Pelodiscus sinensis: one gene and its partner. The main gene of each other region encodes a partner of the protein of the gene in region 2 in a complex. Links are inferred from orthologs where the notes say so. Each region holds a gene or a part of one and is shown on either strand. Other genes may lie near its edges.

Evidence for each region. Proteins that work in one complex are often made in the same cells at the same time.
Region 1: GTF2E2 (region 2) and POLR2G share a complex: the UniProt entries of both Homo sapiens proteins name them as parts of the TBP-based Pol II pre-initiation complex. The link is inferred for Pelodiscus sinensis from reciprocal best matches to the Homo sapiens genes GTF2E2 and POLR2G.

Annotation. Positions count from the first base shown.
Region 1 is NC_134721.1:36,810,060-36,818,038, forward strand, and holds the start of POLR2G (DNA-directed RNA polymerase II subunit RPB7), read left to right. Parts: upstream 1-4,643; 5' UTR 4,644-4,846; coding exon 4,847-4,915; intron 4,916-5,004; coding exon 5,005-5,114; intron 5,115-5,412; coding exon 5,413-5,572; intron 5,573-7,170; coding exon 7,171-7,221; intron 7,222-7,312; coding exon 7,313-7,378; intron 7,379-7,636; coding exon 7,637-7,708; intron 7,709-7,974; coding exon 7,975-7,979. UniProt on the Homo sapiens protein: Core component of RNA polymerase II (Pol II), a DNA-dependent RNA polymerase which synthesizes mRNA precursors and many functional non-coding RNAs using the four ribonucleoside triphosphates as substrates.
Region 2 is NC_134715.1:5,047,623-5,055,409, forward strand, and holds the start of GTF2E2 (transcription initiation factor IIE subunit beta), read left to right. Parts: upstream 1-4,487; 5' UTR 4,488-4,653; intron 4,654-7,787. UniProt on the Homo sapiens protein: Recruits TFIIH to the initiation complex and stimulates the RNA polymerase II C-terminal domain kinase and DNA-dependent ATPase activities of TFIIH. Both TFIIH and TFIIE are required for promoter clearance by RNA polymerase.

The sequences.
Region 1 (7,979 bases), on a different chromosome or scaffold from region 2:
TCCATACGTACATGTTTGGATCTGAGCACAGGGTGCTGTCAGACCAAGATGCTATTGCAGGGGTGGGCAATAATTTTTAATGGGAGGGCCACTCCAAGAATTTGGTAAGTGGTCAAGGGCCGCACTTCTATGGAGGGGGTACTGGGTGCAGAAGGGAGCTTGGAATAGGGGACTGGGGTGCAAGAGAGGATGTGGGAGTTGGGTGAGAGACAGGGTTGTGACCTGGGGCAGGGTCTTGCAGTGCAGGATCTGGGAGCAGGTATGGGTGCAAAAGAGGATTCTGGCCTGGAGAAGGGGTATGGGAGGGGATGCAGAGTCTGGGAGGGAGCTGTGACCTGGGGAAAGGGTGTGCAGAGGGTTTGGATGGTGATCTGGGGCAGATTGTGTGCAGGGGGAGGGGCTGGGGTGCCAGAGGCAGGCTCTGGCTGGGAGGCACTTACCTAGGTGGCTCCTAGTCAGCAGCCCTGCAAGAAACTGAGGCAGCCTCACTGCCGTCTGCTGCAATCCCTGGTTACGTCATGTGGCTCTGTTCTGGTGCTGAGGGGAAGAGGAAGGCTTCACATGTTGCCACTGCTCCCAAAATTTCTCAGATCCTGCTGGCCAGAAACTAGCCAATGGGAACTGAGAGGTTTTGCAGGGGAGCAGGAGCAGAGCGCAAAGCTTCCCCATCCCTGTTCAGCATCCAGAACAGAGAACAGCCAGCTGCTTAAAGCATCATGAGTGGTTCTGTACTTAGGATCCTAGCAAGGGAGCCATGGGCTGGATCTTCCCCACCCCTGTGCTTCTGTGTACTGGGAAGTGGTGGTTGGGGATTTGGTAGAGAGTGGGGTGTGCTGGCAGAGGGAAGGGTAGTGGAAAGCTGGGACATACTGGCGTAAGCACCCTTTGAGCTTGGCTCCCAGGAGTGTTGATCAGGGATTTGATACAGGGGGTCTCATGGCCCCTTTGATGGTGAATTGGAAAACGATGGAGGAACTGAGGTCTTCTACTCACAGGGGGGAATCTCTGACAGGGAATTGGGGGAGGAACTACAGGGCCCCCTCCCAGATTGGGGCAGGGGAATAGGCTGCACAAGGCTGGGGCGGGAGCTGCTGACTCAGGCACATGTGTTCCTTGCTTTCCAGAGTTTATTTTTGTACCTGACTACCTAATAAAACAGGATTTCGTATAACTCGCCTCCTGTCAATCACTCTTTGCCCCACCCTTCACTGTTTTTGTGCTCCTCTCTCACCTGCCAGAGCCAGAGCGCCCCGTGAAGTCCTCTGGCCAGTGCAGCTATACAATGAGCACTGAGGAACGCGTGTGCACAGAACTACAGGTTAGTTTCTCTGAAGGACAGGTGTAGAAACATGAACAGCATCCCTCCAATTTTGCTTCTGGTAGCGGTAATAGTATGTCACTATTTGCTTAGCCAGCATCATTTGCCACTTCACATCCTCTCATCCAGGGGCAGCAAATTCAGAGGAATAAGCAACAAGCATAGCTGTCACCAGTCCAGAGGTGCTGTTCACATCCCCTGGTCCAGAGGTAGCAAATTTGAAGGGATGAGGTTTGCCTTGACTTAATACACATACACACATTTTGGCTACGTCTACACTGGCCCCTTCTTCGGAAGAGGCATGCTAATTTCTAACTTTGGAATAGGGAAATCCGCGGGGGATTTAAATATCCCCCGCGGGATTTAAATAAACATGTCCGCCGCTTTTTTTCCGGCTTGGGGAAAAGCCGGAAAAGAGCGTCCAGACTGGCGCGAGCCTCCGGAATAAAGCCCTTTTCCGGAGGATCTCTTATTCCTACCTGAAGTTACCTGAAGTAGGAATAAGAGATCCTCCGGAAAAGGGCTTTATTCCAGAGGCTCGCGCCAGTCTGGACGCTCTTTTCCGGCTTTTCCCCAAGCTGGAAAAAAAGCGGCGGACATGTTTATTTAAATCCCGCGGGGGATATTTAAATCCCCCGCGGATTTCCCTATTCCAAAGTTAGAAATTAGCATGCCTCTTCCGAAGAAGGGGCCAGTGTAGACGTAGCCTTTTTGTAATTTGAAAAGCTATATTATTATAAATTGGTGTATAAACCAAAACAATTTGCTTTTTGTTCCAAGATGTTTTCAAAAGCAAGCATTCACTCTTCTGCATAGATTCTAGGGATGTAAAATTTTGATTATTTGGCTAATTGAATAGTCGATACAAATTGACTATTTGATTAGCAAAATAATCGAAATGAATTGTTGAAAACAAGACAGGAAATTAGTCACATGACAAGTTACCAGCTCTGCCTGTTAATTTGGGTATGCTCATTTATTAGGGTTACTCTTCTGGGAAGAGGGGGTTGATAACTCTATCAATATGCTGCTTAAATGGAACTGATGCAGAATTTGGATCCAAGCATCAGAACCCTTTCTTGAGCCTGGGTAGAGATTTGTTTTTTGTTGTTGTTTTGTTTTTTAAATTAACGCAGGCTGTAGGTTTTTCTGTGCCTTAGATGGACATCATAATACAATTAAGCAGCTTCAGTACAAACTGAACCTCTCTACTCTGGCACTCTCTGGTCCAGCAACATCCAGGTCCAGTATGATTTTATTTGCCAGATGTCTACTTGTGGATGTGGCCAGTTGCCCATGGTCCCATAGTTTGTTTACAGCCACCAGTCCAAGGGTGATGGAGGTTCAACCTATATTTTGGATACCAATAAAATGCTTGTTACTATAATTGGTCTGACAATTACTTATCTGGGTGCATGTAGGCATGAGTTCATTAGCAATTGAAACAGGAATGTCCATCAGGCAATGCTTCTATTCTTTTTGGGTCCCGGAGTTCAATGCAGTTCTTGCCTTGGACTTTCTGGTTTCCATTGTATATATTAAGGAAGTGATGCACATGAGTCTAGGGGAGCTTTCAGAGGGGTTTAGATCTATCTTCTCTTGCCTTTTCATTGCATTTTCCAAGTCTTTTGATCAGCTTTGGTGCAAGCAGAGACTGGGGGTGGGAGCGGGGGAAAAGGTCTTTAATGGGTCAGACAGACTATGCCCTCATTCTCTAAGAACAAAGAGCTGGTAGGTAACAGACCCAGCAGAAATCTACTTTTTTCTTTTTATAGCACAAGTTTAATAAAAACCTCTAAGTTACAAATCAAAGTACAAAACATATAGCAAGTGCTATAATAGCAACGAGGAGTCCTGTGGCACCTTATAATAGAAACACAGATAAAATTGCTAAAACCAGTAACTACTATTTACTTCAAAGTTTTCAGCATTAGCTATTAAAATAAAAACAAACAGGGTTTTTGACATGCATTGCACAATGATAGTATAGGTAAATGATGAAGTGTTCAGAGTAAAGGAAATAACATTTGCAAAGGAACAAATGGGTTGCAAGGACGGGAGCGCAATTCAAACACTTGCAGCAGCAAATAAGACACAAATTTATGAACTGTAATGAGACTTCATGTTGACGTATACATTGATAAGAGATAGAAATGTAGCCGTGTTAGTCTGGTGTAGCTGAAACAAAATACAGGACTATGTAGCACTTTAAAGACTAACAAGATGGCTTATTAGATGATGAGCTTTCGTGGGCCAGACCCACTTCATCTAATAAACCATCTTGTTAGTCTTTAAAGTGCTACATAGTCCTATACATTGATAAGAGACATTTAAATACTCAAAATGTGTTACACACTCCCTCAGACTCTGCATGTCTGATATTTTACAGCATCCAGACTCCTGAACATGCAGCAGTGTAGTTAGAGAGTCGCTTTGAAGGTCTACCAGTGAGAGCCAATGAATTAGGACAGTTGTAACTTTCAGAACACAGCGAGGAATCTGCCTTGTTCTCCAGCACAGGTACATAGTATCCTGAAAGGGAAAATAACCCCCCATTTCTATACTCCCATCCCTGTCTTTGCACACTGAGTATGTGGCTCATCCCACCCGGATAAGTATTAATCCCCTTTCCCCCCCCGCCCCTCCGGGACTGGCAGTATCTGTTCCCTAAGCTAAACCCCTGTTCCTACGCCCCTTCCTTTTTCCCCTCCAGCCACTCTTCTGCCTCACCCTGGTCAATGTATTTCTGTACCCTGCTCAGACCCTGCCCATCCCCGCGCGGCAATTTGCCCCCTTTGTAACTCCCTGCCAAAAGCAGCCGGCAGAACGCATAAAGTGAGGGCAGGGAGAAGGGCAGTGGCGCCAGCGGAGCTAACTGAGCATGCTCAGTACACGCGAAGCTGCACATTCCGACAGGAAGCAGAGTCTGAATCCCTGTGAGGGCCGCAGCAACAGCAGCTGTTACTGAGCATGCTCAGTTCGGGTGCGCATGCTCAGTACACCTGTGTGTCGCAGGCCAGTGAGGAAGGAGCCTGGGTGGGTGGGGATAACTGCGGGTTGCTTCCGGTCCCGGCCTCTTGGAAGATGTTTTACCACGTGAGTGACGGTCTCCGCCCAGGAGATCTATTGGGGAGTAGCTGCCCCCCCACCAGGCCCCAGCCATGCCCCGCCAGTGCCTGGACAGCCTTTCTCCCCCACTCCCCCGGCGGCCAGCCTCTCCCCATGACAGGGGTCTGGGCAATCTTCTCCCCCTTCTGGGGGCCAGCTGCCCCCCCCCCCCGCCAGAGCCTGGGCAATCCTTCCCCTGAGGCTCAGCTGTGCTTGTAGCCCTTTCACCCCAGAATCAGTTGCTCCTCGACTCCCCCCTCCAAACAACCCACCCCCAAGTGCATCAGCTGCCTCCTCCTTCCTGTCCCCCTTTGCAGTCCCAGAATGCATTACTGGCTCTGCCCCCACGGGGATTCTCTCCAGGGCCCCAGCATGCACCATTCCCTGTGCTCCAGGGGGAACCTTCCCCCAAATTGAGGGATGTCAGCTGCCACTGTTCCCTCTGCCCCAGGGGCACTGAGGTTCTGCCCCATCATTTACTGCCATGAGGTGGGGAAGGAAGGGAGGGAGGGGTTGGCTGAGGATTGCCTCCTTTCCCCTCTTAGTGACAGGTCTCTCCTTTTTCCCCTTTTTCATAGATCTCCCTGGAGCATGAGATCCTGCTGCATCCACGCTACTTTGGGCCCAATCTTCTTAACACTGTCAAGCAGAAGCTGTTCACAGAGGTGGAGGGGACCTGCACTGGCAAGTGAGTAGGGGCAGGAGAGTCTGGAGGGACAGGTCTGTGCGGGGTTGAGATGGAGGTAACAAGGCTGGGGGAGATGGGAATGTATTTGGAGGGTTTGGGAAGCAGTGGGGTGGTGGGTTGGAGATCCAGGACAGGTGCAGATTCATGGAAGGAAGGGGATAGGGTTGCTGTTTTGGAGGGACCGGAAGAACCTAGCCCCTGGTGGTGAATGGGGGAAGTCCCCTCTATTGCAGCTCATTCTTTGTCCTGTTCTCTGCCTGTGAATTCTCTAACAGAGCTGGTTCCCACTCTCCCCCAGATATGGCTTTGTCATTGCAGTCACTACCATAGACAACATTGGGGCAGGTGTCATCCAGCCGGGTCGTGGCTTCGTGCTCTACCCTGTCAAGTACAAGGCCATTGTCTTCCGGCCCTTCAAGGGAGAGGTGGTGGATGCTGTGGTGACACAGGTCAACAAGGTAAGCCATTGCTGCAGGGGTGGGGTGCATTTGTATGAATTTGTGGAGTATATAATGAGAGGACCATTATATCATCTCCTCTGCCCTCCTGTATAACACAGGCCAGAGAAGTCACCCAGACACCCCTGCATTGAATCCAATTACTTGAGTCCTGTGGTAACTCAAAAGTTGAGAGCCCCGGGCAGAGAACAGGAGAGACCAAACAGTTACCAGTGCCCCTCCGAGGACCCAGAGTGGCAGGGAATTGACTTGGCAAGATATGCCCAGATGATTTGAGCAAGTGATTTACATGCGCAGGTCTGTAAGGGAAAGCAAGATGCTCCAAAGGTCCATGTCAGTCTGAGTTGGAGGGGAAAATTCCTTCCTGACTCGTCTGGCAATTTGAGCATGGTGCCCAAGCCAGGCATTTAGGAAGAGGGTTCTCTGGACCATCTCAGAGTCCTGGCCCACTATGCCCAGTGTTCCATTTCCAGCAGTGGCCAGTCTCTGCTGTTTCAGAGGAAAGTGCAGTGGGGAACCCAGCCTAACACAGATTGTGCATTTGGAGGAAACTATTCCTTCCTGATTTCTGCTGAAGCTCTGAAGCATGAGATCAGATTATAGCCATTGTCATAACGCTGAGCTACAATGGTTGTGTCAATGCAAACAATCCTGTTCTCTTCAAGGCCGGTGAAGGAAAGGGTGATTCATGTAGCTAAACCTGTGGGTGGATCCCTAGCTTGGGACTATGCGGTGTCCTTGTACCAAGGATGTAGGAACCCCAAAGCAGCTCTGGGAGGAATGTGCGAAGGCTGTTCTGTCTGACTAGTATCTGAGTCCCAGGGTGTGAGCAGTGGCTGTCTTGGGGCTGGAGAGGGTGTAGCTATTGATGAGGGAACAGGATAACCTCCATGTGTACAGGCAGTCCCTGAGTTACGCGGATCCGACTTATGTCAGATCCGCACTTACGAATGGGGCTTTCTCGCCCCGGAGCTCGCAGGCAGCGGGACCGGCCAGAGCGCAGCGGTCCTGCCACCTCGACCTCCGGGGTGAGAAAAGCTGCTCCGGGTGCCCCTGGTCTGCTGGGGACCGTCTCCAGCAGACCAGGGACACCGGGAGCAAAGCCGCAGTGGCGGTGGGGTCCCGCGCCTCTGAGGCTTTGCCAGAGCAAAGCCTCAGAGGCACGGGACCCCGCCACCGCTGCGGCTTTGCTCCCCATGTCCCTGGTCTGCTGGGGGGGAGAGAGGGCGCAGCTAGTGCCCCCTCCCCCCCAGCAGACCAGGCTTTTGTTGTGGACCCTGGGGTAGAGCAGCTGGGGTGCTGCCGGGTTGGTCCTGCAGGGACCTACCTGGCAGCCCAGCTGTTCTGTCCCAGGCTCAAGATTCAGCTGCTGTTGAAACTGATCAGTGGCTGATTCCAGGAAGCTGGGGGCAGAGCAATTCTGCCTCCAGCTTCCTGTAGTCAGCCCCTGGTCAGTTTCAGCAGCAGCGGCTGAATCTGGAGCCAGTTCCGACTTGCATACAAATTCAACTTAAGAACAAACCTATAGTTCCTATCTTGTACGTAACCCAGGGACTGCCTGTATATGCTAATGGAATCACTGCTTCTGCTTCCTATAGGTTGGACTCTTCACCGAAATTGGGCCCATGTCCTGTTTCATATCTCGACACGTAAGCACAGTGCTGGGGAGAGGCAGCTTTGGGAGCAGGTAGGGTGATATATGGAGAGCTCCTTTTTCACTGACTCTTGTTCTCTTCTCAGTCCATTCCCTCCGAGATGGAATTTGACCCAAACTCCAACCCTCCCTGCTACAAGACAGTGGATGAGGTGAGTCCTGGGTAGATGGTGTTTTGAGGGGAGCTTGTGGTGTAATGGGGGTGCGTGGAGAGGGAGAGAGACTCAGCTGGGGACAAGGGAGATGCTGGAACAGGCTCATGGGTGGTGGGGAGAATTTTACTTCCTCCATATCAGACACGCTTTATTTGCTGGAGTTATGTGCAACTCTGTGTTTAGCCTTTTTGGCCTCTGCCTGAGAAAAGGAGGAAGTTTGTAAATGGGTCTCACTCTAGTGCTGCATGTCTCTAGGACATCGTGATCCAGCAGGATGATGAGATCCGGCTGAAAATCGTGGGGACCAGAGTGGATAAGAATGACATTGTGAGTCTTTGGTGCCTCTTTCAAATATGGTGCATGCACGCGTGTAGATCCACAGCTCTCAGCATGGAACTGGGGGCAGGAACTCATGGCTAATCCAGCCCTAGCCTCTCCCAGCAAGGAAGAGGGAGCAGAGCAAGAGGGCTAGGTCATTCATTCCCAGCCTCTTCCAGCAGGGGGTGCTAAAATACTGGGGATGAGCAGCCCTGCTCAGGTAGAGGCAACTCACCGTCTCTGTTTCAACACTAATCTCTGTGTTTGGTTTGCAGTTTGC
Region 2 (7,787 bases):
TTCTTCCATCTCTGCCACCCAACCGTCTCTGCAGCTACAGCCAATCAAGGGACCAGGGAGCTGAGGCTGCTCCTGGCAGAAGGGAATCAGAAGAGGCAGCTCTACCTGGCCTTGGGAGGTGTCCTGTTCTGTGTCCAGGACCGTGTTCAGAGCAGCTCTCAGGAAGTGCATGTCCAGGTCTGGCTCTAGGGTGGGTTTCATGGTGCTGGCAAGGGAGAGGAGCTGATATTAGACTGTGCAGTGCAGGGGTCAGACTGTATCTGACCTCGGGAGGGAGCCTCTCCCCAAGGTCTCTTTGGGTATGTCTAAACTACATCCCTTTTTTGATAAAGGGATGTAAATTAGACATATTGAAATTGTAAATGAAGCCGGAATTTGAATTTCCTGTGCTTCATTTGCATAATGGCGGCCACAACTTTTTTTTTTGAAGCCACTTTTTGAAAAAAAAAAACGTGGCTAAGACAGGGATCTTTCGACAGAAATGCCTCGTTTCGAAAGATTCTGTAACCCTCAAAAAATGAGGTTAAATAAAATGTGACAAGAAAAAAAAGACAGTATACAAAGTTTGTGGTTAACAATAGGTAGATTTACACAGTAGATAGTAATGAGGTCACTTGCTTTTCAATTGTATGTATCATGTTAGTTCTGTTTAACAAATGTAATTGATTGATTATAATTGATCTTGGCTTTCACAACATCCTCTGCCAAGGAGTTCCACAGGTTGACTGAGTGTTCTGTGAAGAAGTACTTCCTTTTATTCGTTTTATTTTTAGAAACTTATTTTAGTGGCATGAGAATGAGGACTGACACTGAAAAAAGAGTCAGAAAAAGAAGTGCTCGGAAAGCTGAAATGAGTGTATTTCACTTTATAGTATTAAATAGTAAGCAGCATATTTTTAAAAACATAATCACGTTTTATCAGAGTGCAACCTCACTACAGTATCCTACTTTTGTTTTAAATAAAAGTATTTAAGTTTGTAGTTTAGCAATGTGACAATAAATGGAATTCTAAAGGAAACTAAATGTATTTCTAACTCAAATTGGTGATAGACATATAAAAGAGGGTGAAAACTGTTGTAGGAAGGAACAACAGTGATGCTATCTGACCTCTTTTCTTTGTAGATCAGTAAAACAGTTTTAAAATATGCCATACTGGTCCCAGCATTATGGATAAGGAATATCATCTTGGAAAAGTATTACACGGTGTAATAAAAGTTATTTTGGGAGTGAAGATTCTTTAGAAACCATGCTCTACTAGCTATGCCAAAACTTTTTTTGTATGGGGCTATCTCAGGTGATTGGATCTCTGCTGTATACAACTGCTCCAAACTGAAACTTGATGTACAAGATCTTATCTTCCCCTATTGAATGCAAGGACAGTCAGATTTCTTTTTAAACAAAACTTCCTTTCATACATTAATAACATTTTAGCTTCTTAAAACAGGGAATTTTAAAATATTGAAAAGATTTTACAGTATTTGTATTGTTTACTTTTTGCACTTCACTTAGATTGGTCAATTTTTGTTTATAGTCAGGTTCACTTAAACATAAGAATGGCCATGCTGGGTCAGAACAAAGGTCCATCTAGCCCAGAATTCTATCTTCCGATAGTGGCCAATGCCAGGTGCCCTAACGGGAATGAAAAGAACAGTTAATCATCAATTGATCCAATCCTAGGAATGCGTCTACACAACAACGCTGTTTCGGAATAATGGACGTTATTCCGAAATAACTTTGCGAGCGTCTACACAATTCTGTTATTTTGCAATATCAAAATGACGGGCGGCTTATTCTGGATTCTGTAAACCTCATTCCACAAGGAGTAATGCCTCTTTTGAAATAATTTTTTTTGGAATAGCAGTAGTGTGAACACTCCACTGCTGCTATTTCAAAATAGCTCCTCCCCCAGGCCCATTCAAAGTAATTACTCCCTAGTGCTTCCTGGGGCTCTACATTGAGGTAGTACATCCAGATTAGGGGAGCCTGCCCGAGACTAATTTTGAGGCTTCCCTGTAGTGTACATGCACAATCTCGAAATAAGCTATTTCAGAGTATTTCTTCCAAAATAGCTTATTCCAAAATAAGTGTGCCGTGTTGATGTAGCCTGTTTGCCCAGTCTCAGTTCCTAACAGAGGCTAGAGACACCATTCCTACCCATCTTGGCTAATAGCCATTGGTGGACCTATCTTCCATGAATTCATCTAGCTCTTTTTTGAACCCTGTTACAGATCTTGTACTTCACAACATCCTCTGCCAAGGAGTTCCACAGGATGATTGTGTGTTTTGTGAAGTACTTCCTTATGTTTGTTTTAACTTGCTACCTATTAAGAACTTTCTTCTTCCCCTGCATAAGCACAATATTTCAGCCTTTAGCTTTCACACATTACCAGAGGATGTTTAAATAAAAACAGGGAGTTAGTATTTTGGTTCTGAGTAAATGTAGACCATTTTCTTAAAGTATTACCGGTAAGACTTTTTGTAATAGAGGCTCCAGTAGTGAGTGATTCCATAAGTCAGGTTGAGTTGCACTTAGCATTTAAAGCAACTTCTCGTTATGCATAAAAAGTACAACATATTCTCCCCAAACTCACTACACTTAATATCTGAGTTTTTAGTGAATTTTCTAAGAATGTGCAAGTAAATTTTCTAATTAGAGTTAAAATTGTGCATTAAAATATTCCACATTTTACCAGTCTTCACTGTGACTTAAATTATGTTAATCATGGAATATAATATAGATTCTTCAAATTTTCCATATAGTTACAATTATAAAATATAGGAACATGAACTTTTGAATGAATCGATCAATTGTTATTAGTGGCCAGATTCACCAGTACAGTTCAGCTGCTTTTGGATGCTCAGCTGAATTGATTAATCTGTTCTTAAAACTAAAATATATGGGTTGACCCACTCTAGTCTGGCACTGTCTGGTCTGACAACATCCACAATCTGGCCTGATTTTTGTTATATGGATGGGTTATATGGATGGGCATAACCAAGTTTCCCACTGTCCCATAAAGTTTGTTTACAGTCACCAGCCTTGGCTGTCAGTGTTCTGTGCTGTTTAGTTCTAATTTATCCCTAAATGTCTTCTAAAACCCCAATAAACAGTGGGGCTACGTCTACACTGGCACCCTTTTCCAGAAATGCTTAAAACGGAACAGTTTTCCGTTATAAGTATTACCGGAAAAAGTGCGTCTACATTGGCAGGATGCTTTTCCAGAAAAGCACTTTTTCCGGAAAAGCGTCCGTGGCCAATGTAGACGCACTTTTCCGGAAAAAAGCCCCGATCGTCATTTTCGCAATCGAGGCTTTTTGCGGAAAAGACTACTGTGCTGTCTACACTGGCCCTTTTCTGGAACAGTTTTTCCAGAAAAGGACTTTTGCCCGAATGGGAGCAGCATAGTTTTTCCGGAAAAGCACTGACAATTTTACAGTAGATCGTCATTGCTTTTCCGGAAAAGCAAACGGCCAGTGCAGACAGCTTTCAAGTTATTCTGGAAAAGCGGCTGCTTTTCTGGAATAAGTGGCCCAGTGTAGACACAGCCTGGAAGTGTTGGTCATGCTGCTAGACAATACTGACCTTCTATCAGATCCTAAGGGTGCTGGACTAGAGCCACTCAACCCGTATTAAGATTACCTTTACTTATCCTCAAATCATTGGAAATATTGTTAGTGCTTTCAATGGGCTGCTTGTTTCGTACTTATATAGGAACATTTAAAACAAAACAAAAATCCAGACCATACCCTTTCTCTTCTCTCTCCCCCTCCTCCCCCCAAACAAATACTTTCTACATGTTTTCAAGTATCAGAGGGGTAGCCGTGTTAGTCTGAATCTGCAAAAGCGGAGAGGAGTCCTGTGGCACCTTATAGACTAACTGAAGTGTTGGAGCATAAGCTTTCGTGCATCTGAGGAAGTGGGTCTTTGCCCACGAAAGCTTATGCTCCTACACTTCTGTTAGTCTATAAGGTGCCTCAGGACTCCTCGCCGCTTTCTACATGTTCTGTAAGTTTACAAAGTGCTACCAGACTATTGGTTGTTTTTTCAGTTTACCTTCTATTGTGATTGTTTTGGTCTGGGGGTTTAAATAAAAGCTCAAATGCTTGGCTCGAGCAAAGCTGCCCTTACAATGGGTCACCAGGAGGGGCGTGCAATTCAGGGCATCACAGCAACAGCTAAGACAAATTTAGGAGCTATGATGAGACTTCAGGTACAAATGGATAAGAGACTTTTAAATCCTCCCGGGGGTTACAGGCTGGCTCCCTCCCGCGCTGCATGGCCTGGGGGAGACGCTTAGGGCATTGCGGCTCCTGTGCTGCTGGTACGAGTCCCCCCTCCGCCCCCAGCCCGGCTTTGCACAATCCACACGGGGCTCCCTTGCAGCCCCTGCTCTGCCGCTCGCTACAGTTAATTGACGCGCCGCGAGCCACGTGCGGGCCGAGGGAGGGCAGCGGCTCTCACGGCGCCTGCGCAGTTCCAGTGCGCACCGCGCAGGCTCCCTGCGCCCCACGTATGGCGTTCTGAGCTGACGCTGTACCCGGCCGCTGGGCCAATAGGAGCGCAGCAGCCGCCGAAGCCAGCGTCGTCCCCCCCTCCTCCTGCTCCCCCGTGCCCCCCGCCCGCCTTCCCGCGTCGGGCGGCCTCGCGCGCCGGTGAGTTCTCGGGCGCGAGCGGGGCGGTTGGAGCGGGGCAGCCTGGGAGCGCGAGGGCGCCCCCCTCCCACCCCGAGCTGCGTAGGCGGATGGGTCCCGTGTCTGCCCCTCCCCCCCCGAGCTGCGTGAGCCGGGGGGGGGTCCCGAGTCTGCCCCCCTCGAGCTGCGTGAGCCGGGGGGGGGTCCCGTGTCTGCCCCTCCCCCACGAGCTGCGTGAGCCGGGGGGGGGGGGGTCCCGTGTCTGCCCCTCCCCCACGAGCTGCGTGAGCCGGGGGGGGGGGTCCCGTGTCTGCCCCTCCCCCACGAGCTGCGTGAGCCGGGGGGGGTCCCGTGTCTGCCCCTCCCCCCCGAGCTGTGTGAGCCGGGGGGGGGTCCCGAGTCTGCCCCTCCCCCACGAGCTGCGTGAGCCGGGGGGGGGTCCCGTGTCTGCCCCTCCCCCACGAGCTGCGTGAGCCGGGGGGGGGGGGGTCCCGTGTCTGCCCCTCCCCCACGAGCTGCGTGAGCCGGGGGGGGTCCCGTGTCTGCCCCTCCCCCCCGAGCTGTGTGAGCCGGGGGGGGTCCCGAGTCTGCCCCCCTCGAGCTGCGTGAGCCGGGGGGGGTCCCGAGTCTGCCCCCCTCGAGCTGCGTGAGCCGGGGGGGGGTCCCGTGTCTGCCCCCCTCGAGCTGCGTGAGCCGGGGGGGGGGTCCCGTGTCTGCCCCCCTCGAGCTGCGTGAGCCGGGGGGGGGGTCCCGTGTCTGCCCCCCTCGAGCTGCGTGGGCCAGGTGTCCTGCTTTCTAACCCCCCCATTGCATTGGTTGGGGGGTTCCCTCCCCCACCAGCGCTGCACTCCATGGCTCGGGAGAGTCTCTCTCTTGCCACCGAGCAGCAGGGGGGTCCCTGCCTTCTCACCTGCCCCTACACAGCTGCGGGGGCCACAGGGGGTCCCTCCTTTCCCCCTCTTGCACAGAGGCGACTAGGCCCGCCAAGAGCTTCCTTGCACCACCCCCGCTGCCCCCAGCTGCATATTCCCAAGGAGAGCCCTTCCTTCCCCTCCTCCCCCAAGGGTTGCAGGGCCCAAGGAGAGCCCTTCCTTCCCCTCCTCCCCCAAGAGTTGCAGGGGCCCAAGGGGATCCCCCTTTCGCCACTCACTCACAGTCAGAATTAGTTACATTGAGTCAAGCTGTTGTGCAGAACTGGCCCCAGGGATGCTGTAGTCCTGTCTCGACAGCTCTAATAGAAAACAACAGCAGGGCTCATGGGTTTGCTACTTATTGCCAAGTGTCACTCAAACCAGAGGAGCTAGAATAATTTTTATAATGTGGGTGCTGAGAACCATTGACTTTAACTGTAAGTCCTGTGTAGATATAATGGAAACCACTTCCGTACCCTCTACTTCCAACATCTGATTCGATCATCATGTTCCTATCCGAGTCTCTCACCAAGTCCATGGCTTCTTCCTGTAGTGGTGGCTTGCTCAAGTGTTGTGACAGTAGACAAGTGATTAAACTGATGGTGTCCTGTGTAATTATCCATGAGCACTAGCAAGGGGGAAGCACAGAGTGTAGGGAGTCCCCTATCTATCCTTGGTAACCTATAGCATAAGGTAACGAGGTGCTATTCCATACCATTGACATCTTGAGTCCTATAGGGGTCTTGGTTATTTAGACTGGGACTTGGGCGTCTAGTAACATTTTCCAGTTGTATGGGACCATGGGAAACATGGCCACACTCATGATGAGTGGACATCGAGCTAACTAAAATCATACCAGACCAGAGAGTACTAGAATAGGTTCAAGCTGTACACATTTCAGGAAGGCCAGGGAACCTTCCTCTCCCCACCCTCCAATCCAGTCACGCACACACCTAGGTGTGCAGAGGAAGGGAGGTGGGTGTGCATCTCTCCCTCCAAAGTCTATGCATCCGCAGTTTATAGATAGCAAGTTGCTAATATAGTTGTAAAATATCCTTTGTCTTTTGTAAAGGTCCTAGAATGGGGCAGTGGCACATGAACTATACTTGTCTTTGTTGTAAGATATTTTCTACTGTTTGTTTATTCATATTCCCATAATGCTTAGCAGCCCTAATCATTGAGCAGAAGCCTATTGTGCTAGATGCTGTACAAATAGAAGAAAAAACAGTCGGTACCCCCAAAGAGCTTCCTTTCCAACCTTACTAACAATTTAAATAATCAAGCAGAAACCTGGATGTAATTCAGTTTTCGTTGTCCATTTGTACTTTTAGTTATTTTCCCAAAGAAAAGTTGATTTTCCGTTTACACTAGATGTGGTGCTGCTTATTGCTAACTAGGGGTATATGGTGTAGCTATTTACATTTAAGCACTTATATAGCTTGATTTACATTTAGTTCACATTTTTAGTTTTTACATTTTGATTGTTAGAAAATCATGAATGATACATTTATTGTTTTACAAGATGATTATTTTTTTATTATTTGTGCCAAGCTCTATTGGCAAGGAAATTCACATTTAAATTAAAGTGCATTAAGTGGAAATAGCATTTTAAATTGTCCGAAGTGCTGAATTCATAAAAAATTAAATTTTCTCAACATGTTTTGTATTTAAAAGTAACTAATATATTAAAGGAAGTTGTCTGTAGTTTATGCATTGACTTGTGATCAGTTCTGGTCACCATGTCCTTGTAGAACCAGTACATCCCATCCTCTCACACTTTGCTTTCCTTTTTCAGTCTATAAATAAAAACTAGCTTTTATTCAGCTTCAATTCCCATTTGATTTATTAACATTGAATAGACTAGTAATTGAACTGAACTAGTTGAATAAATTGACATAAAGATAGATTTTTTTTTTTGCGCCTGTATCAAAGACTATTACTGTCAAAATCTGGTTTAGCAGTTCAGCAAACTTTGCTTCCAGCTGCTTAACCAGTGACTTTCACTGTTGCAGTGGTTAGACTTTCTTTAAATAATTTGCTGGTTAATATTATTTTTGTATTTAATTTAAATGATTGTAATAAGTTTATTGCTTAACATTGTCATCTTCAAATGTAATTGTAAATGTTTATTTAAAAAATAAACCTTTAAATTTAAAAATATAAAAAATTCGTGTAATTTTTCTTAATCGTTGATTTTTTTTTCCTCTCTAGGTTTATGTTAAACTTTTAATCCTACTCTTTATA